3 linked regions of the Macaca mulatta genome follow. The main gene of each other region encodes a partner of the protein of the gene in region 3 in a complex. Links are inferred from orthologs where the notes say so. Each region holds a gene or a part of one and is shown on either strand. Other genes may lie near its edges. The genes, in order: PDE6D, MTOR and RHEB.

Evidence for each region.
Region 1: the proteins of RHEB (region 3) and PDE6D are in contact, whole or in part, in a crystal structure (PDB 3T5G), measured with the Homo sapiens proteins. The link is inferred for Macaca mulatta from reciprocal best matches to the Homo sapiens genes RHEB and PDE6D. Residues at the interface, in NP_005605.1 of Homo sapiens: Pro2, Gln3, Ser4, Gln57, Asp77, Gln176, Gly177, Lys178, Ser179, Ser180, Cys181; in NP_002592.1 of Homo sapiens: Ile53, Leu54, Cys56, Val59, Val80, Gln85, Cys86, Leu87, Glu88, Glu89, Trp90, Ile109, Glu110, Ala111, Ala112, Pro113, Gln116, Met117, Met118, Leu123, Tyr149.
Region 2: the proteins of RHEB (region 3) and MTOR are in contact, whole or in part, in a cryo-EM structure (PDB 6BCU), measured with the Homo sapiens proteins. The link is inferred for Macaca mulatta from reciprocal best matches to the Homo sapiens genes RHEB and MTOR. Residues at the interface, in NP_005605.1 of Homo sapiens: Lys5, Ser6, Arg7, Lys8, Arg15, Pro37, Ile39, Glu40, Thr42, Gln57, Ala62, Asp65, Tyr67, Ile69, Gln72, Thr73, Ser75, Ile76, Asp77, Asn79, Asp105, Met106, Val107, Gly108, Lys109, Val110, Ile112; in NP_001373429.1 of Homo sapiens: Arg62, His69, Glu73, Ala101, Thr102, Ile104, Gly105, Arg106, Asn109, Tyr110, Arg112, Asn113, Phe140, Glu143, Tyr144, Phe147, Glu154, Arg160, Thr969, Gln973, Phe977, Lys980, Glu1010, Phe1011, Gln1014, Met1018, Ser1050, Thr1051, Asn1264, Lys1293.

What each region holds. Positions count from the first base shown.
Region 1 is NC_133417.1:137,042,327-137,051,890, reverse strand, and holds the start of PDE6D (retinal rod rhodopsin-sensitive cGMP 3',5'-cyclic phosphodiesterase subunit delta), read left to right. Parts: upstream 1-3,249; 5' UTR 3,250-3,444; coding exon 3,445-3,494; intron 3,495-9,564. UniProt on the Homo sapiens protein: Promotes the release of prenylated target proteins from cellular membranes. Modulates the activity of prenylated or palmitoylated Ras family members by regulating their subcellular location.
Region 2 is NC_133406.1:229,467,183-229,476,663, forward strand, and holds the start of MTOR (serine/threonine-protein kinase mTOR), read left to right. Parts: upstream 1-3,854; 5' UTR 3,855-3,961; intron 3,962-4,298; 5' UTR 4,299-4,391; intron 4,392-6,653; 5' UTR 6,654-6,692; coding exon 6,693-6,854; intron 6,855-7,507; coding exon 7,508-7,616; intron 7,617-8,910; coding exon 8,911-9,143; intron 9,144-9,481. UniProt on the Homo sapiens protein: Serine/threonine protein kinase which is a central regulator of cellular metabolism, growth and survival in response to hormones, growth factors, nutrients, energy and stress signals.
Region 3 is NC_133408.1:190,938,781-190,948,466, reverse strand, and holds the start of RHEB (GTP-binding protein Rheb), read left to right. Parts: upstream 1-3,294; 5' UTR 3,295-3,345; coding exon 3,346-3,397; intron 3,398-9,686. UniProt on the Homo sapiens protein: Small GTPase that acts as an allosteric activator of the canonical mTORC1 complex, an evolutionarily conserved central nutrient sensor that stimulates anabolic reactions and macromolecule biosynthesis to promote cellular biomass generation and growth.

The sequences.
Region 1 (9,564 bases), on a different chromosome or scaffold from region 3:
CAGCAATGCCTCTACTTCCTCCAGAATAATGTCCAGACTCCATGGCTGCAATTTGGACTTAGTATTTTGGGTTTTTTCCCTTAAGAGACGCAGTCTTACTCTGTCACCCAGGCTGGAGTGCAGTGGCACTATCATAGCTCACCTCAGCCTTGAACTTCTGGGCTCAAGGGATCCTACCACCTCCACCTTCCAAGTAGCTAGGACTACAGGTGCAGGCCACCACACCTGGCAAATTTATTCTTTTTTTTTTTTTTTAGAGATGGGGTCTCTCTATGTTGCTGAAGCTGCTCTTCCCTGATCTCAAGTGATCCTCCCACCTTGGCTCCCAGAATGCTGGGATTACAGGTGTGAGCCACCACACCCAGCCCATGGCTGCAGTGAAAGCCCTTCCAAGTGTGCCTCCCTCCTAAGTCCTCTAGCTTTGTCGCACCCCACCCCCTTCACAGTCCAAACTCCCATGCCCGGCACAACTTATACCATCCCTCTCAGACACCAGGCCTATGCTCAAGCTTGCTCTTTTTTGGAATGCTCTTTTATTAGCCTGTAAAAAACCTACCAACTCTAAAAGCAAGGATTTCTGAAATCCAATGCAAAAAACACTAACCATAATAGAAAACATGGAACTATTGCACTATGTTAAAATTAAGAATTTCTGCTTGGCAGATGCAGTGGAGTACACCTAAAGTCTTACTATAGCTACTTGGGAGGCGGAGACAGGAGGATCACTTGATCCCAGGAGTTCGAGGTTGTAGTGGGCAATGCTGGTGCCTGTGAATAGCCACTGCATTCCAGCCTGGGCAACATAGCAGAGACCCCATCCCTCAAAAATATAATTTGTTTCAAAAGTCACCAGTAAGAGAGTGAAAAGACAAGCCACGCCTTGGAAAAGATATCTGCAAAGCATGTATCAAGGAACTCTATATCCAGACGGTAAAGAACTACAAATCAATAAGAAGACAGCCCAATTTTTTAAAGTTGGGAAAAGAATAGGCACTTCAGGAAAGACAACGTTCAACTAGCCAACAAGCATATTGAAAGGCGCTCAACATAAGGAAAAATGTAAATAAATACCTTAATGAGATACCACATTCAGCCAGAATGGCTACAATTAAGAAGAATGACAACAAAAATCCTGTGTTGACAAGGATAAGAGGCACCTAGAACTCTTTCATATTGCTGGCAAAGGCGTAAATTGGTACAATCATTTTGAAAAATTGGCAATGTCTACTATCACTGATCATGTGCATAACCTCCCTACACACCGGCAATTCCTCTCCTAGAAATGGGTGCAAGTGTCTACAAAAAGAAACATGTAAGAATGCTCGCTACAGCTTTGCTAGTAATAGTCCAAAAAATAGCAACGCAAATGCCCACCAACAGTGGAAAGGTAAATTGTGGTATATATATACAACAGAATACTATTCAGCAGTTAAAAGGCTACACACAACATGGATGAATTTCACAAAAATATTGATAAAGTAAAAAAGCCAGACACATACTGTACATACTGTATTATTACATTTAACTGGAATTCAAGAACAGACAAAACTGATCTATGGTGATACAGTCAGAAGAGTGATTATCTCAATATGTAAGGAGGTAATACTGATTGGGAAGGAGCACTAGGCGTGCTAGAAATGTTCCATATCTTGATTTGGGTAGTGGGGACAAGGGTGTATACCTATGCAAAAATTGTTCCCATACTGTATGTCACATCTCATTTAAAAAAAAAAAAAAACTTTTTTAACATGGAAAAAAACTTCAAGTCCAAATGCCACCTTCTCCATTAAAGTTTTGCCAGCTGCAATTAACCTTTTCATCAGGGCCTCCTTAGCATTCTGATGTCGTTTCTTTTATGCCATTTTATCACACTCCATCTTGAATCTCAGTGGAGTCTCCTTATTTCCCTAAATAGATGTTTATCTTCCTGGTGGCAGTGACCATGTCCTTCACCTTTTACCCACTCAGTGCCTGACAAATAACAGGCTGAAAAGATATTTATTGAATTACATGGAAGAAAAAATTGGGTGAGTTCCCAGATGGGTGAAAGAGGGGACAGGCAGAGGAAGGAAGGCCAAGAGAAGGACAGAGGAGGTTTCCAAGGAAACCGTGGCTCACACTGCAATTTTACCTACTTCCTGAAATCACATTAAATGTCACCTTGAGTGGCAAAAAACAAAACACCAAGTCCTACCTAGGCTGAAAATAAATATCACACTCCCTCACTTGAAAGAAATCCACCAAATAAATGCTACCTAATTCTGGGTGTTTCAACACTGGATAGGAAAACTGTTCAAGGAGAATAATTCACATTGCTATGCTGCTAAAAATATCACCTCCTTAGTGTGGTGCAAAGAGTCCAGACTGCAAGTCAGCCGACTTAGGGCTGAATTCTAACTCTGCCCGAACTTGCTGTGATCTGTGGCCAATCCCTTCGCCTCTCTGGGCCTCAATTTCCTCATACGTAACAACGGGGTAGATTAGCAAAGTCCCTTTATGTTTTGATATTCTGAGTATACAATCCATAGCTCTCCCGGTCCAAAGCAGGAATACAGCAAAAACCCCTGAAAAACACGTAAAAGGCGCCTCAGACCAACAAGCACGATTTGAAGAAGTCATTTTGTTATCTTTCACGGTTTAATCAGTGTTTTTGTTTGTTGTTAGCAGCCTTACCATGATTTGCAGAAGATGTCTGAGTTCCATGTAAACAGAAGTTAACTCTCTGCGGGCTGTCATCTTCTTTTGACGGTGAGAAGGGTCTTCCCGCTGGGTTTCAAGTCTCGGGATTCCGAAACCACCAACTCAGCGGGCGGGTTTGTGAATTTGCGCACACTGCGCGGCACACTGGAGTCTAAGTTACAGAGGAACCGAGTGCAGAGGATGCTGGGATTTGTAGTCTCCGGACCTCTTTGTGGTGCGCTGGGATCTGTAGTCCCCCGAGTGCGCCGCTGGAATGCTGGGAAATGTAGTCTCTGTCGCGTAGCACAGTGCAACCAGCTGCCGTCTCGAATGGCTAGTGTGCTCAGCTGCGGGAGCAGGTCCCTAAAGCCTCTGCAGATCCGAAGCCAACACTCCGCTGGGACAAACTCTAGGCAATAACACCAGATGAATATTGTGTCCTATGGGACTTCCCGGGGAGGGCCCTTCCCATTGACGTTAACAGTCCCCCTGCGAAGGCGCAGCGCGCTCCTACTGGCTGGTTGGGATGCCAATCACCAAAGCTGGCTTTCCATTGGTTCCAGGGGGGCACTGCGAGGCTAGGGGGAAGGAGAAGGGATCAGGAGCGGGAGCTGAGGGGAGAGAGAGGCCGGTCCTGGTCTGGCCGCTGCGGCTGCTCGCCCGAGGTCTCCAAGCCGGGCTGCGGCTCCATCCTCGGCTCCTGGGCACCGTCTGCGAGGCTCCGCCGACCAGAGTGAGAAAGCCGCGGGCGGCTAGCGCCGCATCATGTCAGCCAAGGACGAGCGGGCCAGGGAGATCCTGAGGGGCTTCAAACTGTATCCGCCCGGGAGCGGGGCGGGGCCGGGAGGACTTGGGAGGCGGCCGCTCACTGAGGAGACTGGCCGGGGGCGGGGGCCGCGCCAGGTGGGCCCCGCGGAAGAAGGGCTGCGGGAGGGGAGAGGAAAGGAAAAGCGTGCCGTGCACCCGGCGGGACCAGGCGCGAGAAGCGCCCCCAGGGGCGTCCTGAGGGAGGAAGGGGACGTTGACGGGAGCCACAGGGGGTGGCGGGTGGGGACGGAAGAGCTTGGGGTACTGGGCTGCGAGAGGTGCCGGGCGTCGCAAACGCTATCGGAGAGACCGGCTGGGTTCCAATCCCCGGCCGGGACCCAGAGGCCGGGAGGGGGCTGCGGCCCGCAGGGAAGGGCTGAGGGGGCGCGGTGGGCTGATCTTAAAGTCTAGAAGCCTCTTTGGCTATAAGCCTACCCGAGGAGCGGGGAACAGTGACTTGGAGCGGGCGACCTTGTGTGGGACAAATACCAGTGCTTTTAAAACTCTCTCAGGGCCCCCACCGCACCGCACCCCACCCCCGTCTGGTTTCCACAACTTCTCTTCCAAACTTGTGGCTTCTTCCAGGGCTAGAGTAGTTGGGGGAGGTGGGGAAAGAGAAGTCCAAGATCAACCTCGTCTTAACACTCTTGGTCTTCTGAGGCATTGGTCACTGCTTCCCCCTCAGCGCCTCAGTTTCCTTTCCAGCAACACGAGGACCATAGGCTTAGGTGTGGGGTGCCTCGCGCTGGGGCTCCTAGCCGAGGTGTCTTTGCTCGCTCCTGTTGGTGCGGTTAATGCCTAGCTGTGGTGGAGCTGTCCAGCAATAGTGTGATGTCGCTGGGGCCACGGTAGGATAGTGGGGTAGAGAAATCATTGCCTCGGGCCTGTTGTGATGCCGCTCTTGCAGCCTCTCCTTAATGTGGTAAGGAAGCTTTGTGTTTTCGTGGAGTGTGTTAGTCTGTCACCATATGATGCAGATGAAAAAATGCAAACTTGTATATTCAAATTTTCCATTCTCCTGCCGGCTTTAATCTCTGCATACATCCTGTCTGTAATCTATAGTACGGAACGTTCTTAAACTGCTCCCTCAGTGAAAAGGTAGTCACCGCTTTAGGACTCCTCCCTTGGAGGTTTAGTAAAGCACTGTTTTCTTGATATTCTGTTGTGTTTTCACAATGTCCATGTCACCCTTGCAAAATTTAATTGCTTTGCTATAATCAGAAACCAAGTTGGTAATACATTTTAGACCACAGTGCAAAAAGGAAGTTTTGGATGTACAAGTGAGATTTTTCAAGTGAAAATTGATCTAGGCTTTTAAAAAAACCTAAAGGCTGTATCACCTTTGCATACTACCATTCAGGATAAAGTTTCAGTACTTTCATGTAGTGATTTAGTAGCAGCCTCTTTAGAGCTCCATGTGCCTTTCTGTGTTTCTCTCCATAATGGATCATATAGGTATATAGGGATGACTGAAGTGCTGGAAAAGCTATGACATGAATTTTATTTTTCCCTCAAGTAATTTGTATTATTACTTAACATATAACAATGTAATAATATTGTTACTTAACATGCTGTGTAAGCAGTAAACCAGAAACTATGGAGAACTGAGAGATTTCAGAAGCAACGTTTTCATCTGATTGGAAATACCATATTGCTGAAAAGAAGAAATACCTTTTTAATGGCTTTTGAACAAAGCAGAAAAGTTTGAGCTTCTCACCTTCAGTCTTGGCTCTTGAACCTGTTAAGAAAGAGGATAAGAGACAAATACGGAAAAGAGTTTCAGAAAGCAGAATCTGTGTCAGCCCACTAGAAGGAAAAGCGAATCAACCAATTCAGTGATGTTAGTGCATCCAGAAACAGGCTTTCGGGGAAAGCTTGACCTGAGCTGATTAAATCCTGAAGCACCAGGGAAGCAGCCACATCAAAAAGTTAGCATGAGAGCAGTGGCGTGCTCATCCTCTGGTAGCCTTTATTGGGCATTTGTGGAGTAAGAGGGAAAAGAAAAGCAGGAATGTTAAGATATGCTACTACCTTCAGGAAAAAGTAAAATTAATGTTTTAGTAAGAAACTGACTATTGTCTACCTTTTATTGGGTAAATAGATTTTCCGAACTTTCTTTCAGAGTATCTGTTTCTGTAAGAATAGTTTATCACTACAAAAAGAGCACCATTATGTTCTCCCACCAACAGTGTTGATAGTACTCAGTTTTCCACATTGACTAGGTCGGTCTTTTTTGTTTGCCAGTTTAGATAACAAATGATATATTGTTTTAATTGGTATTCTCCTGGGATCCCTACATCCATGAAAAGGTAATGTAGCATAGTGGTTAAGAGCTATACTGGACTATGTCGCTATACTGCCTGCATTGGAATTCCAGCCCTGCACTCCTAGTTGTGTGTCCCTGAGCAACTGCTTTAACCTTGCCTCAATTTTCTTATCTGTAAAATGCAGAAAATAATAGTATACTACCTATCGCATGGGGCTTTGAGAGTAAATGAGTTGATATCTAAAGCATTTAGAAAAGCACCTGATCTACAGTAAGCATTATGCTTTAGCTAGTGTTATTCTTGTTGTTATTAGATAAGTTGCACATCTCTATTTGGCCATTTCTTTTTCTTCTGTAAATTGTTAATTTTGTTTTTGCCCATTTTACTATTAAATTGTTTATTTTTCTTATTTGTAGATGTTCTTTACATATTGTAATATCAATCCTTTGCCTATTATATATTTTGCAAATATTTTCTTTCAATGTATTGTCTCCTTTTTTGTTGAACAGAATTCTAAAATTGTCATTTCAAATTTATTTTATTTGTTTGAGATGAAGTCTCGGTCTGTTGCCCACATTGGAGTGCAGTGGCACAATCTTGGCTCACTGCAACCTCCGCTTCCCAGGTTCAAGCAATTCTCCTGCCTCAGCCTCCTGAGTAGCTGGGATTACAGGCACATGCCACCATGCCCGGCTAATTTTTGTATTTTTAGTAGAGACGGGTTTCACCATGTTGGCAAAGCTGTCCTCAAACTCGTGACCTCGTGATCCGCCTGACCTCTGCTTCCCAAAGTGCTGGGACTATAGGCGTGAGCCACCGTGCCTGGCCTCAAGTTTATTAATATTTGCCGTCTGGCTTTTGCATTTTGTATCTTGTTTAAAAAGATCTTTCTTATCCCAAGATTAACTAAATATCCTATCTTTTCTTCTCTTTTTAATGTTTAGCTCTTTAATCCACCTGGAACGTATTTATACATTTGGTATAGGGTAGATATCTAAGTACTTCTGCTGTTTGAATAGCCAGTAGTTCCAGTACTAAGTACTAAGTCCGTCTTTTCCTCACTGTTTTGAAATGCCATCCTTGTCATATACTAAATTTTCATAAGACGTAGGTTTATTTTTTGATTATTTCTCTTTCATTGATCTATTTGTCTCTTCTTGTGCCTATACACATTTGGTTGAATTATTATAGCTTTATGATGTGATTTAGTACAGTTTACAATAGGATTGGTCTGTGACTAACATAATATGTGTGTTTAAGGTCCCTATAAATATTTATGCCCCTTTTATTCACATAGAAGCTTGCCATATGCCCATAGTAGATAGAAACATGAGGACTTGGCTGGGCATGGTGCTCACACCTGTAATCCCAGCACTTTGGGAGGCCTAGGTGGGAGGATGGCTCAAGGCTAGGAGTTCAAGACCAACCTGGCCAACATAGTGAGACCCCCAACTCTAAAAAAAAAAAAATTTAAAGATACTCCGTAAGAGTGATGCATAAATCAGGCATGGTCTGAGTGAATTCAGTATAAGCCTTTGTATTTGCCATCAGTTGTTTCAAAAACAAAATCTTACAAGATTTTATTCTCATATCACCTTCACCCCATCTCACCCTACCTCTTTCAGAGTATCTGTTTTTGTGAGAAGAGTTTATCACTACAAAAAGAGCACCATTATGATCTCCCACCAACAGTGTTGATAGTACTCAGTTTTCCACGTTGACTAGGTCAATCTTTTTTATTTTTGCCAGTTTGGACAACACATGATACCTTGTTTGAATTTGTATTTTCCTGGATCCCTAGATCCATAAAAGGTAATATAGCATAGTGGTTTAAGAGCTATACTGGACTGTGGCGCTATACTACCTCTCAAGAAATGCAAGGCTCTCATACACATTAAGAACCTTACATTTCTTTCTTGTTTGTTAAAAGCATAACATTTCCTAATTGTAAATTAATGTTATGAATGAAATGTTACTTGGGGAACAATATGATTCTCCTGCAAATATTTTGGATTTGATTTTAAGCAGCTGACATAGAGATTGATGTTTGTAAATCCCACGTTTCCCGTTTCTTTTCTTCAACAAAGGTCTGTTGGGTGACTGTTATGTATAGGGCACTCTACACTTAAAGGATACAAAAATGAATGACTTACAGTCCCTTCTTTCCAGAAGCTTAACCAGCTTTATGTCTGTGTAAAAGGAATATCTTCAAAAGCAATGCATTTTTTAAAATTCTATTTAATTTTCCTATTACAAACTCCAGCTACCTAGAGTCACTTTTGTAAGTATTATTTAATATAGCCTTCTAATGTAGCTAATTTTTAATGTGTTTTTTATAAAAACGGAATAGTAAATATCACTTTGTAACTTACTTTGTTCACTTAATAATAGATTTACCATGTTTATGATTTCCAAAGATAATTACTTTCAGTTATTTTCACTGACAGATTTGTCACAGTACTCTTTTTTTTTTTTTTTTTTTTTTTTTTTTTGAGATGGAGTCTCACTGTTGTTGCCCAGGCTGGAGTGCAATGATGCAATGTCGACTCACTGTAACTTCTGCCTTCCGGGTTCAAGCGATTCTCCCGCCTCAGCCTCCCAAGTAGCAGGGATTACAGGCATCCACCACCACGCCCGGCTAATTTTTGTATTTTTAGTAGAGACGGGGTTTCTCCATGTTGGCCAGACTAGTCTCAAACTCCTGACCTCAGGCCTCCCAAAGTGCTGGGATTACAGGCGTGAGCCACTGCGCCCAGCATTTGTCACAGTACTCTTATACCAGCTTTCTAGTATGGTCTGTATCCACTGTTTTGCCTATTTGAATAGCTTTTTCATCAACATAAAAATATTACTTTATTAAATTAACAAGAAACTGACAGACTTCCATGAGAAGGAATTATGCTTTTATGATTTCATTATCTTTAATCCATCTGGAATTTTCTTTGGTATAAGATATAGAGTAGTAATGTAGCTTTTTTTAAATATTAGCTTATTGTCTCCATTTATTTATTTAATTCATTTATTTATACTTCAGATATTATAATATCCAGAATATAAATGGCTTGGCTGCCTACAAATCAATACGATAAGCATTTAACTCAAAATGGACAAAGGATATGAACAAGCAGTTCCTAGAAGAAAAAAGCAGATGACCAATGAATAAATGAGGAAATGCTCAACCTTGTTAAAATAATAGACTATCTGCCAGGTGCAGTGGCTCATGCCTGTAATCCCAGCACTTTGGGAGGCCGAGGTGGCGGATAGCTTGAGCCTAGAAGTTTGAGACCAGCCTGGGCAACATGGCAAGAGCCTGCCTCTACAAAAAAAAAAAAAAAAAAAAAAAGCGCACACAAAAATTAGCCAGGTGTGGTGGCGCATACTTGTGGTCCCAGCTACTGGGAGGCTGAGGTGAGGGGATCACCTGAGCCTGGGAGGTGGAGGTCGCAGTGAGCCAAGATTGTGCCCCACTGCATTCCAACCAGGGTAACAGAGTGAGACCTTGTCTAAAATAATAATAATAATAGACTATCTCTTTATTCCCAATTAATTGACACAAATTTAAAAGATTGATAATATATATATCCTGAGAGTGGCACTGTATGAAAATAAAATTAAAAAAAAAAAATAGGCCAGGCACAGTGGTTCATGCCTGTAATCCCAATACTTTTGGGAGGTCATGGTGGGCAGATCACTTGAGGCCGAGAGTTTGAGACCAGCCTGCCCAACATAGCAAAACCCCCTCTCTATTAAAAATACAAAAAATTAGCCAAACATAGTGGCACACGCCTGTAATCCCAGCTACTCAAGAGGC
Region 2 (9,481 bases), on a different chromosome or scaffold from region 3:
GTCTGTTGCTGTGCAGCAGGCATATAAACCTGTTGGAACTATAAGAGAAAGATCTACAAGATACACTAAAATTTTAAAAATGCAAAATAGTGCATATAGTATAACAAAAGGGGAAAATAAGAATATATGTATGGGCTGGGCATGGTGGCTCGTGCCTGTAATCCTAGCATTTTGGGAGGCTGAGGCGAGCGGATCAACTGAGTTCAGGAGTTTGAGACCAGCTTGGCTAATGTGGTGAAGCCTCATCTCTACTAAAAATTTAAAAATTAGCTACGCATGACGGCACAGGCATGTAATCCCAGCTACTGGGGAAGCTGAGGCACGAGAATCACTTTAACCTGGGAGGCAGAGGTTGCAGTGACCCAAGATCATGCCACTGCACTCCAGCCTGGGCCACAGAATGAAATTCTGTCTCAAAAAAAAAAAAAAAGGGAATATACATACGTATATATTTGCTTGTTTTTGCAGACAGAAAATCTAGGGATGCTTAAGAAACTGAGAAAATACATAGTCAAGGGGCAAGGGTGGAGCAAGACTTTTCATGATAAATATAACTTGTTTATTTTGAGATTTGAATAGTGACTATATTGCATATTAGAAATTTTTAATGATAAAAACATAGATGTTGGGCCTGGTGCGATGGCTCACACCTGTAATCCCAGCACTTTGGGAGGCTGAGGCAGGCGGATCACCTGAGGTCAGGAGTTCAAGACCAGCCTGGCCAACATGGCGAAACCCCGTCTCTACTAAAAATACAAAAATTAGCCGGGTGTGGTGGCGGGCACCTGTAATCCCAGCTACTCAGGAGGCTGAGGCACGAGAATCACTTGAACCCAGGAGGCGGAGGTTGTAGTGAGCCGAGATTGTGCCACTGCACTCCAGCCTGGGTGAGAGAACGAGACTCCATCTAAAAAAAATAAAAAATAAAAAGTTGTTGATCAGTGAAAATGTAAAGTTTAGAGGAACAGTTATCTCACAGAAGCAATGAAAAGAGGCTAAATCTAAAGTAGCCATTATTACTTGGGAGGCTGAGGCAAGAGAATCGCTTAAACCCGGGAGGTGGAGGTTGCAGTGAGGTGAGATCGCTCCCCTGCACTCCAGCCTAGGTGACAGAGTAAGACTGTCTCAAAAAAAAAAAAAAAAAGTAGCAATTATAATTTTTTTTTTTTTTTTTGAGACAGGGTCTCACTCTGTCAACTCAGGATGGAATGCAGTGGCGAGATCACAGCTCACTGCAGCCTTGACCTCCTGGACTCAAGTGATCCTCCCACCTCAGCCTCCTAAGTAGCTGGGACCACAGGTGCATGCCACCACACCAGCTAATTTTTTGCATTTTTTGTAAGGGTGAGGTTTCACCATGTTGCCCAGGTTGGTCTCAAACTCATGGGCTCACACAATCCACCTGCCTCAGCCTCCCAAAGTGTTGGGTCACTGTGCCTGGCCAATATCATAGGTATTAACAACAACAAAAAAACCCTGCCAAACAAAGCATTTTGTTAGCCACAGAATATTATCAACCATCTTTATTTATTTATTTATTTATTTGAGATTGGGGTCTCACTATGTTGCCCAGGCTGGTCTCAAATGCCTTGGCTCAAGCAATCTTCCTGCTTTGGCCTCCCAAAATGCTGGGATTACAGGTGTGAGCCACTGCACCCAGCCCAACCGTCTTTAATTTGGCAGTTTAGGCCTTCTGAAAACTCATTCCTTCTACCTTCACTTCTTTTTATTACATAAGTAATTGATGATAATGTATAAAGAAAAAGTGTCTTTCCCATTGTGCACATCTCCCCATGTAAACATAGACATATGAGAAAAGCATAAATATTTTTGTAAATGGTTATATTATACTTACATTGTTGTGTAATTTGTAATTTTTGAACTAGTTGTGAACCTTTTCCTTCTTAGCAAATATTCATCTCATTACCACTATTTCTTGTTATTATTATTATTATTGTTATTATTATTTGAGACAGGATCTTTCTCTGCTGCCCAGGCTGCAGTGCAGTGATCACAGATGACCACAACCTTGAAATCATGGACTCAAGTGATTCTCCTGCCTCAGCCTTCCAAGTAGCTGGGACTACAGGCACGTGCTACCATGCACAGCTAATGTTTAAATTTCTTTTGTAGAGATGAGGGTCTCACTATGTTGCTCAGGCTGGTCTGAAACTCCTGGCCTCAAGCAATCCTGCCTTGGCCTCCCAAAGTGCTGGGATTACATGCATGAGCCACCATGATAGGCTCTAAATTGTCATTATTAATGGCTACGTATTTTTCTTATTATGAATGCATTTTTTTTTTTTTTTTTGAGACTGAGTCTTGCACTGTCACCCGGGCTGTAGTGCAGTGGCGTGATCTCAGCTCACTGCAACCTCCACCTGCTGGCTTCAAGCAATTCTCCTGCCTCAGCCTCCCAAGTATCTGTAATTACTGGCGCCTACCACCATGCCCCGCTACTTTTTTTTGCATTTTTAGTAGAGACGGGGTTTCACGAGGTTGGTCAAGCTAGTCTCAAACTCCTGACATCATGATCCGCCGGCCTCGGCCTCTCAAAGTGCTGGGATTACAGGTGTGAGCCACCGCACCTGGCTGAATGCATCATATTTTACTGGACTCCTACTTTGAAGTATTTAGGAATTTTCAGTGTTTACTATGACAAATAGCACTGTGATTAAAAAAAAAAAGAAGAAATGTAGTCAAATCCACTTTTGCTATTGATTTCTTTTTTTTTTTTTTCCAATTTGTAGAGACATTGTCTCACTATTTGCCCAGGCTGGTCTGGAACTCCTGGCCTCAAGCGATCCTTGTGCCTCAGCCTCCCAAAGTGCTGGGATTACAGGTGTGGGCCACTGTGACCAGCAGCTATTTATTTTCTTTGGTATGTATGTATGTATGTATGTATGCATGCATGTATGTATTCATTGAGACGGAGATTTCTCAGTCGCCCAGGCTGGAGTGCAGTGGCACGATCTCAGCTCACTACAACCTTTGCCTCCCGGGTTCAGGCGATTCTCGTGCCTCAGCCTCCCGAGTACCTGGGATTACAGGCGTGCGCCACAATGCCCACCTAATTTTTGTATTTTTAGTAGAGACGCGGGAGAGTTTCACCATGTTGGCCAGGCTGGTCTCGACTCCTCCTGACCTTAAGTGATCCGCCCGCCTCGGCCTCCCAAAGTGCTGGGATTACGGGCGTGAGCCACCGCGCCGGGCCAGCTATTGATTTTTGAAACGATTAAAAAAATATAATGTTTCTTTGAAAATTTTTATTTATGAGTAGCTCTTTTGGTTAAAACTTGGCTATGGTTTCTCTGGAATGATCCTGAATTGGATAATTTTGGGAAAGTGAGAAAATCTAATTAAAAACATTTTCAAATGCTTATTAAATGTAACAAAAGAGAAATCATAGGATCCATAAAGAGCGCTAGCCCGAAACGTCTTCTGATGCAGTAATTCCTGGGCGCCAGCATTGCTCACACTCTCCTCTCAGAATTAACACCGGGAGGGGTCGCGAACCTCTGCTAGCCGCTCTTGGTGCGATCCGGAGGTACCCAGACAGCGGACTCCCTGAGTTCACAGCCCGGATGCAGAGGGGAATCCTAGCAGCGCCGCACCGGATGTATGAGTGGAAGTGACTGAGGTCAACTCACGACCGATTGGTTCTCCCGAGTGGACCCAAGCCTGTTTTCAGCTGTCACTGGCCGCGTGGTTTGTCTATTTGAATAGTCCCCGCCCCCTGGAGAAGCCGGGTCCTGAAGCTCCACTTCTTCTTCATTACTATTGGCCTGTTTTTCAGTCCATCTTCTTCCTGTACGTGTCGATTGGTCCTCAGGGCTAGGAACCCTCCTTCCCTCGCTCCCGGTTTAGAGGACAGCGGGGAAGGCGGGCGGTGGGGCAGGGGGCCTGAGGCGGCGGTAGCGGTGCTGGCGGCGGCAGCTGAGGCGTTGGCCGAAGCCGCACGGTGAGTCTAGGGCCTGGAACGACCCCTCTGAGGCGGCGTAATGTCCAGACCTACGGCCAACCTGCCCGTGGGGGGGCAGGGGAAGCCGCCCGTCTGGGACGTGGGGTCCCCACACTGCCGGCCCCACGACCTGGGCACCGTCTGAGCCCTTGAGTCCCACCCCTCGAGGCAACGCCCACCTCCCCGGGACCCCCAAGAGACCCCTGCACCCTTCGGCCCGCGGTACGTCCGCCCGAAGGCCGGTCCATCAGCTCTGGTACTGCCCTTTGGGTCTTTTGCCCGTTACAGCCACCCTTTTTTCTGAGCCACGTACAAAAATTTTGTATCTCTGCCCCAGGGAACACCAGCGTCCGTGTCAGCCCCTTATCCTCCACCGTGGACACTTCTCAGAGACCCAGTCACCGAAACTGAGCTCGGTTACATCGTTGGGGTACATCCTCTCGCCTTCTCCCCCAGCCCCATCCCTGTTTCTCCCATCCAATTTTAACTTACTTAAGCCCTATCAAGACCCTTAGGATGTTTGACTTCAGATATCCTAAGTTTAATTGAATTCAGCCTGGAGCAGATGGCCTGTGGGCCTCAGACCATATGAAGTTACACTGGTTCCTTCCTGAGCCTTTCCTTGCTAGCCTCCTTCCCCCCTTTCATACACACACACATACACACAAACTGGAGTAGTTTTCTTAGTAGGGATTCTTAAGTTTCTTCTCCCCTAAAGGATGACATTTCTTTCTGCAGTCTTCTTCTTGGCACTGGAGTATTTGAAAGCTTTTCAAAACCAATTATTCCCTGTTTTTCCTCTGTGCCTTACAAATTGGTTCAAAAATAAGAATTTTGAGAAATTGGTTTTGTAGCATAAGCTGAACATACTTAGGATAGGTATATGTTCCACCCATAGCAGTGTGGGCATAATTGAGGAATGAAGGAATGATCTCAGAAACTAATTGGTTTCTTTTAGCTTACATTTGAAGTGCTAGTCCCCTGTAGAACTGCATTGTTCAGTACAAGAACCACCAGCCACATGTGGCTGTAGAACACTTGAAATGTGACTAGTTCAGGTGGCTCACACCTGTAATCCCAGCACTTTGGGAGGCCAAGGCGGGTGGATCACCTGAGGTCAGGAATTTGAGACCAGCCTAGCCAACATGATGAAACCCCATCTCTACTAAAAATACAAAAAAAATTAGCCAGGTGTGGTGCTGCACATATGTAGTCCCAGCTACTTGGGAAGCTGAAGCAGGAGAATCATTTGAACCCAGGAGGTGGAGGTTGCAGTGAGCCAAGATCACGCCACTGCACTCCAGCCTGGGTGACGGAGAGCAAGACTCTGTCTCAAAAAATAAATAAAAGTGACTAGTCCAAATTGACATTGTCGTAAGTGTAAAATGCACATTAGATTTTGAAGACTCGCTACAAAAAAAGAATGGACACTATATCAATTTTTAAAATATTGATAACATGTTGAAATGATATTTTGGATATATTAGTTTAAGTAATTAATTTCACCTGTTTCTTTTCACCTTTTAAAATATGGCTACCAGCAGCTTTAAAATTACATTTGTGGATCACTGTATTTCCTCTTTTTTTTTTTTTTTTTTCAATTGGGATGGAGTTTTGCTCTTGTCGCCCAGGCTGCAGTGCAATGGCGCAATCTTGGCTCACTGCAACCTCCGCCTCCTGGGTTCAAGTGATTCTCCTGCCTCAACCTCCCAAGTAGCTGGGATTACAGGCACGCACTGCCATGCCTGGCTAATTTTGTATTTTTGGTAGAGATGGAGTTTCACCATATTCCCCAGGCTGGTCTCAAACTCCTGACCTCAGGTGATCTGCCTGCCTTGGCCTCCCGAAGTGCTGGGATTACAGGCGTGAGGCACTGTGCCTGGCCTATATTTCTATTAGACAATGCTGCTGTGGAATAATAATCTCTCTTTTTAGACTGAACTTGAGCAAAGGGGCAGTCTTAGTCATTTTTGATTCTTTCCCTACCTCCCCACATTTGTTACCTGGCACTGTGCCGTGTACATAGTAGTAGTAGTAATAATAATAGCTAACAATTATTAAGAACTCAGTATATGCCCTGCACTGTTTTAAATACTTTTTGACATGTATTAACTCATTTAGTCCTCACATCAACCCATGAACTAGGTACTATTATCTTCCTATTGTAGTTGAAGAAACATTTTTAGTGTCTTTCTCAAGGTATATAACCTTGTTTTTGTTTTCGTTTGTTTTTGTTTTGAGACAGTGGAGTGGCAGGATCTTGGCTCAGGGCAACCTCCACCTCCCAGGTTCAAGTGATTCTCCTGCCTCAGCCTCCCGGGTGGCACATGCCACTACGCCCAGCTAAGTTTTGTATTTTTAGTAGAGATGGGATTTCACCATGTTGGCCAGGCTGGTTTCGAACTCCTGACCTCAGGTGGTCCTCCTGACTCGGCCTCCAAAACTGCTCAAGGTATCTAACCCAAGGATTCAAACCCAAGTAGGCTAGCTCCCATAGCCCGCAATTTGACCCTCCCTACCACACTGCCTCTTTTAAACATCAGTCATTGTTTAATGAATCTAGGCTTTCTAAATGTTCCTCAATAAGATCTCTCAACCTTTTTAGAATCCCCTGCCTGACAAGGGCTTGGGGGAGATCTGTGTTGGATGACCAGGGCCATAAGTAAATTTATCACCATACTTTCTTGTTCAGAATATTAAAGGAAACTTCTCTAAAGAACCTCAGGGCAAGATGCTTGGAACCGGACCTGCCGCCGCCACCACCGCTGCCACCACATCTAGCAATGTGAGTGTTCTACAGCAGTTTGCCAGTGGCCTGAAGAGCCGGAATGAAGAGACCAGGGCCAAAGCTGCCAAGGAGCTCCAGCACTATGTCACCATGGAACTCCGAGAGGTGCTTCTGCGATTTGGGGCCAGTCATTGTGGGATGTTTGGGCTAAATGTATCATCACTGGTTTAGACTTTTTTTGGACAGCTAAGCGAGGATTTGGAAAACAGAGATTATTTTAGAAAGGCACTCAACCTCTCACATCCATAAAACATGCAGGTTCTTTTGCAGCAGTTGCACATTTCTGTGGCATTTTTCTTGTTTGTGGTCACATTTTAGGGGCCAGAATAGACTTAGCTGTTTCTTTTAGCTTTTTCTTTTTTCCTTACCACATACCACACCCTCAAATGCTTTCTGTCTGATAACAGTGATTGGGATGGGTTTGGAGAGTTGAGAACTAGGGACTTTCTAAATAGAGACCAGACTTGAGGTCAGAGACAGTATCTTGTTTATCCTTGTATCCCTGGTACTAGAAAGAACCTAGGACAGAACATTTTCTGCCACAGAGTAGATACCCAATAAATATTTGTTAAATAATCAGAGGATTGCAAGTTCAGGTGCTCTACAGTGTAATCCTGTAGAAGTGGGCAGTAGCTTGTCTTCTTTGGTTTGAACTATACTGTCTGCCTCTCAGGATCTAATCTTTAGATGCCAGCCCACTCCCACCACCACAGTCAGAGAATTACTAGAAATTGTTCTGATTATATCTTCTTTTGCAGATGAGTCAAGAGGAGTCTACTCGCTTCTATGACCAGCTGAACCATCACATTTTTGAATTGGTTTCCAGCTCAGATGCCAATGAGAGGAAAGGTGGCATCTTGGCCATAGGTAAGGACAGAGTCTCTGGCCACAAAAACAACACACTCACCTTTGTGCCCATTGCACCCTGTGTCTGCCACTTACTGGATGCTAGTTCATATTTGCTTAATGAAATTTAAGAAGCCTGTGGCATTTAATTCTAGCAGCAGTCCTGGGCTACAGGAAAAACGTATTTTTAGATGTGGAGGTGGAGTCTCAGAACCATTGAGTGACTTTTCAGACAGTTTACCAGAGCTGAGACTGGAAGCCAGCTTTCTTTCCCCTCCTTCATGTTGCGTTTTGTGGGCTCTGGTTCCTCAGTAGAGCAGGGTTTTGCATAGTGGGGCTCACGAATGGAAAAGTGGAATCGGTATAGTTAATAAAAAGCAGGTCTCTTTTTTTTTGAGATGGAATCTTACTCTGTTGCCCAGGCTGGAGTGCAGTGGTGCAATCTTGGCTCGTGGCAACCTCCGCCTCCTGGGTTCAAACGATTCTCGTGCCTCAGCCTCCCGAGTAGCTGGGATTACAGGCACCTGCCACCATGCCCGGCTAGTGTTTGTACTTTTAGTAGAGACAGGGTTTCACCATGTTAGGCAGGCTGGTCTCGAACTCCTGACCTCGAGTGATCTGCCCACCTCAGCCTCCCAGAGTGCTGGGATTACAGGTGTGAGCCACCACACCTGGCCAGGCAGGTCATTTTTAACTTCTAAGGACTGGTCATCAGTCCTGTGAATTATTATCCAGTCTCACTTGCTTTCCCTTTTTGGGGGACTAGGGGGGAAAATTATACTAGCATAAGATTATTTTGCTGTATGTAAATATTTCTGGCATAAGTATTAAATATCTGGGTTAAAATAAAAATTGTGTCCTTGCCCTCTAGAAGTGTACTCAAAGTAGAATGGAGGGATCACTTGCCAGCTTTTTTTTCTTTTTTTTTTTCCTGAGACAGAGTCTTGCTCTGTCACCCAGGCTGGAGTGCAATGGCGCAATGTCGGCTCACTGCAACCTCCGCCTCCCGGGTTCAAGCAATTCTCTTGCCTCAGCTTCCCAAGTAGCTGGGACTACAGGCGCATGCCGCCACACCCGACTAATTTTTTGTTGTTGTTGTTGTATTTTAGTGGAGAAGGGGTTTCACCATATTGCCCAGGCTGGTCTCGAACTCCTGAGCTCAGGCAATCCGCCCACCTTGGCCTCCCAAAGTGCTAGGATTACAGGCTTGAGCCACTGCGCCTGGCCAGCACTTGCCAGCTTTTAGTTGAAGTCTGTGTACTTTCCTGGTCAGCCTATGCCCCATCATCACCTTTTGCCTTCCTCTCTTTTCCAGCCAGCCTCATAGGAGTGGAAGGTGGGAATGCCACCCGAATTGGCAGATTTGCCAACTATCTTCGGAACCTCCTCCCCTCCAATGACCCAGTTGTCATGGAAATGGCATCCAAGGCCATCGGCCGCCTTGCCATGGCAGGAGACACTTTCACCGCTGAGTATGTGGAATTTGAGGTGAAGCGAGCCCTGGAATGGCTGGGTGCTGACCGCAATGAGGGCCGGAGACACGCAGCTGTGAGTGCCTGCAGGGAGGAGCACAGCCAGGCTTGGGGAGCGATGGTGTCATGGTGGGGTCTTTTGCTTCCTTCTGAGGCTCATCCCTGAAAAAGGCTGGTTAGAAGGGCTAGGATTCCAGGCTGTGAGATGGGGTAGAGTCCGTCCTTAAGAGAGAATCTAGCAGTGGTGTGGTAGGGATCAGAAGCATCAGCCGCATGCTTTCCAGTCTGCTGCCCTTCAGAGGAGGCAGTACTGTGAGGCGGGGGCATGGTACCAGGAGAAGGACACACACTTGGACCCTGGCTCAAGTCTTGGCTTTACAACTTCCTACCTAACTCTGTAACCTGGGGCAGCTT
Region 3 (9,686 bases):
AGTACACACAGAGGAGGCAGCAGGCTTAGGCCTCGAGGAGCAGTCCCGAACAAGCAGGGCCTGCTGAGGAGAAGCTGACTGGTGGCAGCAGACCTTCCTGCTGCTGCAAAGTCAAAGGTGACCGAGTTAGCCACCAATAAGGGAGCTACTTTGAATACAAAAGCAAGTCCATTTCTTCCGACCCTGTTCCTGTCTGGTTGCAGTCAAGTATTTCCATGTGAATTCAGACTGAGTCCCTACTATTTTAGCTAATCTGAGCCATTTCTTTTTTTCTTTTCTTTTTTTTTTTTAAGACAAGGTCTCCCTTTGTCACCCAGACTGAAGTGCTGTGGCGCCATCTCAGCTCACTGCAGCCTCGACCTCCTGGGCTCAAGTGATCCCGCCACCTCAGCCCTCCAAGTAGCTGGGACTACAGGCACGCGCCACCACGTCCGGCTAATTTTTTTGTATTTTTTATAGAAACAGCTTTTCTCCATGTTCCCCAGGCTGGCTAAGTCATTGTTTAAACGAAACAAATTCTCCCCACTCTGGAATAAAAGAATCTTCTAAACCTCTGGATCCTACATTAAAGGGCTTGAAGATAGCAACTGGAACTTTTTTTTTTTTTTTTTTTTTTTTTTTTTAAGACAGAGTCTCGCTGTTTCACCCAGGCTGGAGTGCAGTGGCGCTATCTTGGTTCACTGCAACCTCCGCCTACCAGTTTCAAGCAATTCTGCTGCCTCAGCCTCCCGAGTAGCTGGGATTACAGGTGCCCACCTAATTTTTGTATTTTAGTAGAGACAGGGCTCTACTAAATTTTGCATGCCTGGCTAATTTTTGTATTTTTAGTAGAGACGGGGTTTCACCATGTTGGCCAGGCTGGTCTCAAACTCCTGACCTCGTGATCCACCTGCCTCGACCTCCCAAAGTGCTGGGATTACAGGCGTGAGCCACCGAGCCCGGCCTGGAAAACTTCTTGAATGAGTTTGTCCTTTACGACTGTGCTTCACATCTGGATTACCAATATTCTCAGGCTAGAGTGGTGCTTTCAAACTTTTTGAAGCAGCCCATGGTAAGAAACTTTACAATGAGGCCGGTGCAGTGGCTCACACCTGTAATCTCAGCACTTTGGGAGGCCGAGGTAGGCAGGTCATGAGGTCAAGAGGTCAAGACCATTCTGGCCAACATGGTGAAACCCCGTCTCTATTAAAAATACAAAAATTAGCTGGGCGTGGTGGTGTGCGCCTGTAGTCCCAGCTACTCGGGAGGCTGAGGCAGGAGAATTGCCTGAACACGGGAGGTGGAGGTTGCAGTAAGCCGAGATCACGCCACTGCACTCCAGACTGGCGACAGAGCGAGACTTCGTCTCAAAAAAAGAAAAAAAGGAAACTTTACAATGAATCCCAACATACAATAATACATATATAGCATATCTATAAATATATATACCGACGCATGCACTTACACACACTTACCCTTACTCGTTTTTTTAACTCACCACTGTATTAATGAGGACACATACTTACCCTTACTATTCATAATGCAGTTTTCTATTCTGTTCTATTTTTTTTTAAAAAAGGTGAAACTAAACTGATTTGATAATGCAAGGAGTTTAGTAGCATCTGTTCAAAAACACTGTGGTGAGGATATCCGAATCCACAGGATAAAAACGACACATTTTACAGGAGAGTACAATTTAAGACCTTTAGTTTTAAAACACTTAAAATAACTGTAGCGTAAACCTCAACATTTCATGAAAACATAGAACTTCCAGACATTGATCACTTCCGGCTGGCTGCCTGGGGTTTCCATCTGTAGATCCCCAAGGACAAGAATGCACACCCCAGCCCCTATCGGATGCTTCCGTGGGAAAGCTGGAGGGAGTCGCTCTTGGGCTGGGTGTTCCAATTCGACTCCAGTCACCTCTAAACCTTCCTACGCTGGAATACAAGGCCTGCTACTCAGTTTCCCTGGGCTTCATTCCTCCCTACCGATCACTGGGAAAGGGCGAAGGGCCATGCCCGGCCTCTGCAGGTCCCCACTGCCAAACAGCCTCGGCAGAATAGGGGCGGGTTCCCCGGCGCGGCGGAGCCTCTGCTAACTCGGCAAGTGCCAAGCCCACCAGCAGCCACCACTCCGGGCCTGCCTGGAGGCTCGTCCCTCAACGGCACCTGCGTTCCCGGCCCGGATTCTCTTCCCGCGCCCCTCTGCACTGCACCCCTGGGAAGGCTGTGCCCACACCGCGGCCCGAGGCGTTCCTGGCACCCGGCTCCGGCCTGCCCGCCGCACCAGCCGCCCTGGCGCTGGCGGAGAACCGGCTTCCCGCCCCGGCGTTGTTCCAGGATGTGCGCCGAGCTCCGCGCGAAGCGAAGCAGACACCAGAACTGACGAGGCTCGCCCTGTTTTTAATGAAATTCCTAACACTTTGAATTAACGCAGACTCCATGCTTCCCACAGTCCTTCGGCCGTGGGTGACGCTTAGTCACCACTACATCCTCAAACCCAGACACGAACGCTAACGCAGCTCAAGGGGAATTTTCAAAAAAGCCCCGAGGGAGGAGCTAGCCCAACCACCGCCCGCCCCGGCCACGAGCCTCGCGCCCTTCACGGGCTCAGCGGGCGCGAACCCGCCAACCGCTCAGCTTATCACCAATCACCGCACCTCCCACCTATTGCCCCGCCCTGCGCTCCGTTCCGGCCAATCACCGGGGAGCCACCGTTTGTCTCTCCGCCTCTCCCGCCCGCCCCCAACCGGTTGGAAGTTTGAAGCCTTCAAACCTCGCCGGCGCCCAACCGCGCTGTAGCAGCGCGGTGTATTTTTAGCTCCTGGGTGGCCAGCCCCGCCTCCTCCGCCCCGCCTCCTTGCCTCCCCCAATGGGAGATGGAGTTTCTGACACGTCATCGCGCGGCTGTGCAGGTGCCGTCCAATCGGCGCTCGGGGAGAATGGCGTAATTAAAAAGCGGCGGAAGAAGGTGGGAGGGTCATGACGCAGCGAGTTTCAGTCGTGACTTTTCTGGGGGCATCGCGGCGTCCCCTTTTTTTGCCTTTAAAGTAAAACGTCGCCCCGACGCACCCCCGCGTATTTCGAGGGGGCGGAGGCGGCGGGCCACGGCGCGAGGAGGGGCGGTGCTGACGCCGGCCGGTCACGTGGGTGTGTTGTGGGGGGAGGGGCGCCGCCGCGCGGTCGGTTCCGGGCGGTTGGGAGCGCGCGAGCGAGCGAGCGAGCGAGCTAGAGGCAGCCGCGCCCGCCGCCGCCCCTGCTCTGTATGCCGCTCTCCCCCGGCGCGGCCGCCGCCGATCGCAGCAGCAGGAGCCGCCGCCGCCGCGGTTGATGTGGTTGGGCCGGGGCTGAGGAGGCCGCCAAGATGCCGCAGTCCAAGTCCCGGAAGATCGCGATCCTGGGCTACCGGTCTGTGGGTGAGTGGCCGGTGGTCGCGCGGCCTCCTCGCGCCGCCGGGGCCTCGCCTGGAAGCCGGGTCGCTGCCGGGCCTGCGAAGTTTGGAGCCGGCGCGGCCATGTGGCGGGGCGGGCGGGGGCCGCGCGTTTCGTAACCACCATTTTGAGCGGAGGTGGTGGCGGTCGGGGCGGCGTCCGCACCGGTCGAGGAGCTGCGGTAGCCGGGCGCCCTCCGCGGGCCGGGCGGGCAGGTGGCGGCCGGGCGGAGGGCGTGGGAGGCGCGGGGCGGGGGCCGCCGGCCGCCGAGGAGTCCGGGGCTCGTCTGGGGAAATGAGGCGGCGCCAGGGAGCCGCGCTAGAGGCTCCCGCGAGGAAGGAGTCACACCTGCCTCCCCGCCTTCGCCGCGGGCGCGCGTGACCGGGGCTGGCGGTCTCCCCCACCCCGCCCCCGATGCAAGGAAAAGAAAGTCCGTGGGATTTTAACAAAGGAAGCAGCACCTCGGCTTCATTCCATCTGTGGTGAAGTTTACCCTTGTAAAGAAAACTAGGGACTTAGAGAACGTTTGGTCTCTGGACGCAAGTTTTGTACATAGGAAACCTAGGCGAGCCCCCAAAAGAGGCCCCTCTGGAGGCCCTGGAGATGCTGCTGGCGGCCCGGGTAGGAAGGCAGAGAAAAAGGAATGTCTGATCTCTCAGTGGCCTATATTTCTTCGGGAAGGAATAAGGTCAGGTACTTGCAACCACGCTGTTGAAGTAATTCCGAAGTCTTTTTGTTTTCTTTTTCTTCCCCCAAAAGGTTGACGTACATTTGAAACGGTTCCTAGCGTCGCCTTACTGCTGAATAAGGTGGCTTAGGGTCGGGTTGGGGGGCGGACGGGGTGTCACAGAACAAGCGGTTTTCTGGCCTGTGAGAAACCGGAGCGATCGAACTTAGACACGCTTCAGGGTGAGGCTGTATTGTCTGCCGACATCCGGAAGCCTGGAGAAATTACGTTCATCTTTTCGGGCTGTTTTGAAGTAACTGTCTATAGAAGACGTGCGCCGGGCCACATTTGGGGGGATGGGGAGGTGAAAGCGAGGGTTCAAAGGCTCCGGTGATTGCGGAACGGGGTGACAGCATGTGTCGTGGGAAGCTTGTACCTGCCAGCCGCTCGCGGGATGCACTCCCCAACTGCGCTTTCCACCGCCGGTGCCAGGGTCTGTGCTCTTTGACCAAGATCAGCCACTGCATGCTTACTCATCCTTTTACTACCTCTCCGTCGAGAGCTGGAGGAAGTCAAGGGCTGAGAGAAGCTTGGCTAGAGATGCGGGGTGCCCAGAGTCGTAGGGGGAACTCTTGTGCGATGCGGTGCTGCAGCCAGGAAGTAACCACGAATCAAATGGAGGGGTTCAAAGTCACTAACTGTTCAAATATCTACATGGAACCTGGGATCCAACCTTTATTGGCAGCCTGAATCCATGCTCTTGTCTCTGTTCTCTTGATTTCCTCCTCTGCATTTTGAGGAGTTGGGAGCGCGAGGTGTCCTGGCTCTTGGGTGAGCCCTCCCTAGTCAGTCAAGTAAGTACTTATTGCCAACTATTTGAAAATAGCCCCTGAATAATCACATTATGGTCAAGTACCTCGGCTACTTGATTTCAACCCAAGAGAATGACCTAAAGATCCTGACTGATTTACCCTTTTAAAATGTTGAAATGGTAGCTCTAGTCTTTGGTAAGCAGGGCTAGTTTTATCACTTTTTGGTGGGTTTTTTTTGGTTGTTTTTTTGTTTTTTTGTGTTTTTTTTGCTAAAGAAGTTCCTTGTGTCCAGTTGAAATCCATTCTGTTTTATCTTCCCCTCTATTCAGCTTCCTCCTGAGGACGGAGATGTGACAGGACACCCCTTAGCCGTCTCTTCACAAGCATTATTTTAAAGTGCTGCTTGTTAAATACTGTGCTAACTTAGTCTTCGGTGGGTTACAGGGTCACTTTTAGTCCCTATTTTGTGTCTTCAGTATTTCATATTTCTGCAACCTACCCCACTTCTCCATACTTATTTTCAAGCGTAGTCATATTAAACGATTTTGGAGAGGTTAAGTTGCTCCCAATCTTGTATTTGATTTTTTTTTTTTTTTTTGAGACAGAGTTTGGCTCTTGCCACCCAGGCTGGAGTGCAATGGCGCGATCTTGGCTCACTGCATCCTCCACGTCCAGGGCTCAAGCGATTCTCCTGCCTCAGCCTCCAGAGTAGCTGGCACTACAGGCATGCACCACTACACCCGGCTGATTTTGTATTTTTAGTAGAGACAGGTTTCACCACATGGCCAACCCTCAGGCTGGTCTCAAACACCTGACCTCAGGTGGTCCTCCCACCTTGGCCTCCCAAAGTGCTGGGATTATAGGCGTGAACCACCACACCCAGCCCCATTTGATTTTAAAGTGTATTATGAGCCGGGATATTTTGTAGTTTGTGGGGTCTTTTGCAGGGGAAGGAGATTAGGTTTTGCCAGCAGGTTTCGTCTAGTAAGCCACCCTTTTGAGGATTACTCAGCATGCTCACTTCTGGGAGCTTGCAAATGGTGCTATACCAGAGAAATCTGAGCACATGTGTTTCTAGATTGTGGTCTTTTGTGATGCTGAGCTGTTTTCTCCTATATTCTGGGGGTAGAGCCATAGAAAAAGGCTCCACATCTTTCTTAGAATGTTCTCTTAAGTACATTAAACCAGTTTGACTAGTAGGATACTTGTCATTGTGACTTTGTCATGCCACAAACTTTATTTTTAAAGTTGTCTTCAGCTAAAACAACAAAATGCTATGTTTGTTTTACTAGTTGGCTTTCTCTTTTTTTTTTTTTTTTTTTTTTTTGGAGACAGAGTCTCATTCTGTTACCCAGGCTGGAGCGCAGTGGTGCGATCTCGGCTCACTGCAACCTCTGCCACCTGGGTTCAACCAAGTCTCCTACCTCAGCCTCCCAAGTAGCTGGGATAACAGGCGCCTGCCACCCCGCCCAACTAAGTTTTGTATTTTTATTAGAGACTCGGTTTCACCATCTTGGCCAGGCTGGTCTTGAACTCCTGACCTCGTGATCCACCTGCCTCGGCCTCCCAAAGTGCTGGGATTACAGGTGTGAGCCACCATGCCCAGCCCTCTACTTGGCTTTCAGGTTTTTGTCAGAACTACCAATAGGGAAAATATAATTTTCAGGTAATCTATACAATTCTCCCTCCCAATCTCCTGTACTTTTCCTGTTCTTTACAATGTTAAAGCTTTTAAGGACATGTCACCTGTAACTCTGGGAGTCTGGCTTTCAGGGAGTGCTTTGTATTAACTGTTCCTGTGGTGGCCAAAAGTACCAGCTCCCTGACATTCCGTTGTCTCTACCACAGCAGAGTAGTCCCGCAATAGGAAGTAACTAAACTTAAGTTAAAATGGTAGTGTTACGTAAACTATCTTCAGTCTGGTACGTGTTTCACTGGGATTTTACCTGTACAGAGAGCTTTGGTAACCTAGTTTATCATTAGACCGTAATCAAAAGCTGGTTGTCATATATAAGCCTCTTACATACGGTTAATAAGAGGGGTGGGATCACAGGCATGTGAAAGATCATAGGGGGAAAATGAAACAGCTTTGTGGTTTGGAAGAAGGCAATTCAGCAAAAGTACTCAAATTATTACTTTGTCAAAATGTTTTGGGTAGTATTTAGAGTCTCCATGAGGAAAGATGTCATTAAATATTTGGTTGTTCCTAGCAGATTCTGACGTACTGTTTATTTTTTAAGTTAACCTATCATTTGATGACACTTTTTATTGAAAAATTGAAAGGCAAAACAATATTTGCTATGTATGAAATCTACCAGTATGTGAAATTGTATATTCAGGTGCTTAATATTCTGATGTTGTATACTTGTGGGTGGGGGTAGTCCTGAAGTGGCCACTTTGTATTGAAACTTGAAATTACTGTTTTTCAGTCTTACTCATTGTTCTGCACAAGAGCATAATCCGAATTCAGATTTCTGATTATGACTTTCTAGTGCCAAATGTTATTTTGCTGTCCCTATGGGTTATATCTCTCTGTACTTCATCACCCCAAAAAGAAACTGTACTCATTAGCAGTCACTCTCCATCTTGCTTCCCTATCAGCCCCTGGCAACCACTAATCTTTTTGTTTCTATGAATTTACTTACTCTGGACATTTCATATAAATGAGAACATACATATGTGGTCTTTTGGGTCTGGCATCTTTTACTTAGTATAATGTTTTCAGGTTTTGTCCGTGTTGTAGCATGTGTTGCCGCTTCCTGTTTAGTGCTGACTAATATTCCATCATGTGAGCATACCACATTTTTTCTATGCATTTGTCAATTGGATATGTGGGTGGTTTCTCTCTCTTTTTTTTTTTTTTTGGCTATTATATTTTATTTATTTACTTTTCTGAGGCAGGGTCTTGCTCTGTTGCCCAGGCTAAAGTGCAGTGGAGCTATCATGGCTCACTGCAGCCTCAACCTCCTGGACTCAAATGATCCTCCCACCTCAGCCTCCCGAGTAGCTAGGACTGCAGGTGTGTGACATCACACCCAGCTAGTTTTTTAATTTTTTTGTAGAGGTGGGAACCTTGCTCTGTTGCCCAAGCTGGTCTTGAACTCTTGACCTCAAGCAGTCCTCTCGCCTCAGTCTCCCAGTGTTGGGATTACAGGTGTGAGCCACCACTTGGAGCTCTACTTTCTGGCTACTAGGAATAATAATGCTTTGAACATTCCTGTACAAGCTTTTATGTAGACATATCTTTTCATTTCTCTTGGGTACATTCCTAGGAGTGGAATTGCTGGGTCGTTATGGTTAACTCCGTGCTAAATGTTTTGGAGAACTGTCAAATTGTTTTCCAAAACAGCTGTACGATTTTATATTCCCATAAGCAGTGTATGAGGGTTTAATTTTCTCCACATTCTCATCAACACTTGTTACTGTCTTTTTCATTTTAGCCATCCTAGTGGGTGTGAAGTAGTATCATAGGTTTTGCAAATAATTTCTTCTGTCTGTGGGTTGTCCTTTTACCTTCTCAATGGTGTCCTTTGAAGCAAAAAGTTTTTAATTTGAAGGCCGATATATCTATTTTTCTCCTGTCACTTATGTTTTTGGTGTCACATCTTAGAAGCCATTGCCTAATCCAAGGTCATGTAGATTTACTACTACATTTTCTTTTAGATGTTTTATTCTGTTAACTCTTAACATTAGATCTGTGATCTATTTGTAGTTAATATTTGTATATGATGCCAGAACTTTATTCTTTTGCATGTGGATATCAAATTGCACCAGCTTCTTTTGTTAAAATAATGTTCTTTCTTCATTGAATTCCCTTGTCCAAAATGAAGTGACCATAAATACAAGGACTCACTCATTCCATTGATCTGTATGTCTGTCCTTACGCCAGTACCACACGATCTTGATTACTGTAGTTTTGTAGCTGGTTTTTAAATAGGGGCATATGAGTCCTCTAACTTTATTATTTCTGAAGATGTTTTTGGCTATTCTCAGTTCCTTGCATTTTCACATTGAATTTTAGAACTAGATTGCCAGTTTCTGCCACAAAAGCAACTGCAATTTTGATAGGGTGTTTCACAGTTTTGCAGGTATCTTTTAATGTCTTAACAGCTGGATTCTCATATCTGCTCCTGAATTCATTCCCTTAACGTTATTTTAATGAAGTAAGGAGTACTTGAATAGCTTTTTCAGGTAGCTGAATATTCTTTGATACCAAAACTTCATAAGTGATAGTTTGGAAGAATAGTTACACTGTGCAATCTGAAATCATATTGATGAATTTGCCCAACTCCACAGGTCTGTTTTATACTTGGAATGGATCTTCTACCATACCTGGTTTTGTAGCATCATTGGTCATTTGGAAAATATTTGTTCATCGTTACACAGATCTTCCACATGTTGACACATTTTAATATACAAGCATGTTTAAAAATCACATTTGTTAATATCACCACCAATCTCTGCAGAGTCTTAAGTTTTAGAACACTGTTCACTATAAGCAGTGCAAGTTTTCCAACATTCTAATTTCCTCCTTGAGTTCAAATAATTTTCTTGGCAGCATGCTACTAGTTTTTACTTGAATTGACTGTTCTGTTTCTTTCATTTTCAAGAAAATGTCTGCCAGCTATTCACATTTGCAATAATGATAATTTGTCATCATTCTTGCAAGTAACAAAGGCATTCCATGATAAAAGTGGCCAGTTCAGATCACTTCTCAAATGATTGCACAAGTGCTTTTTTTGGAAACAACCATCATACTTCAGTATGTTACAGAGGTGCTTTATGCGTGCATCTC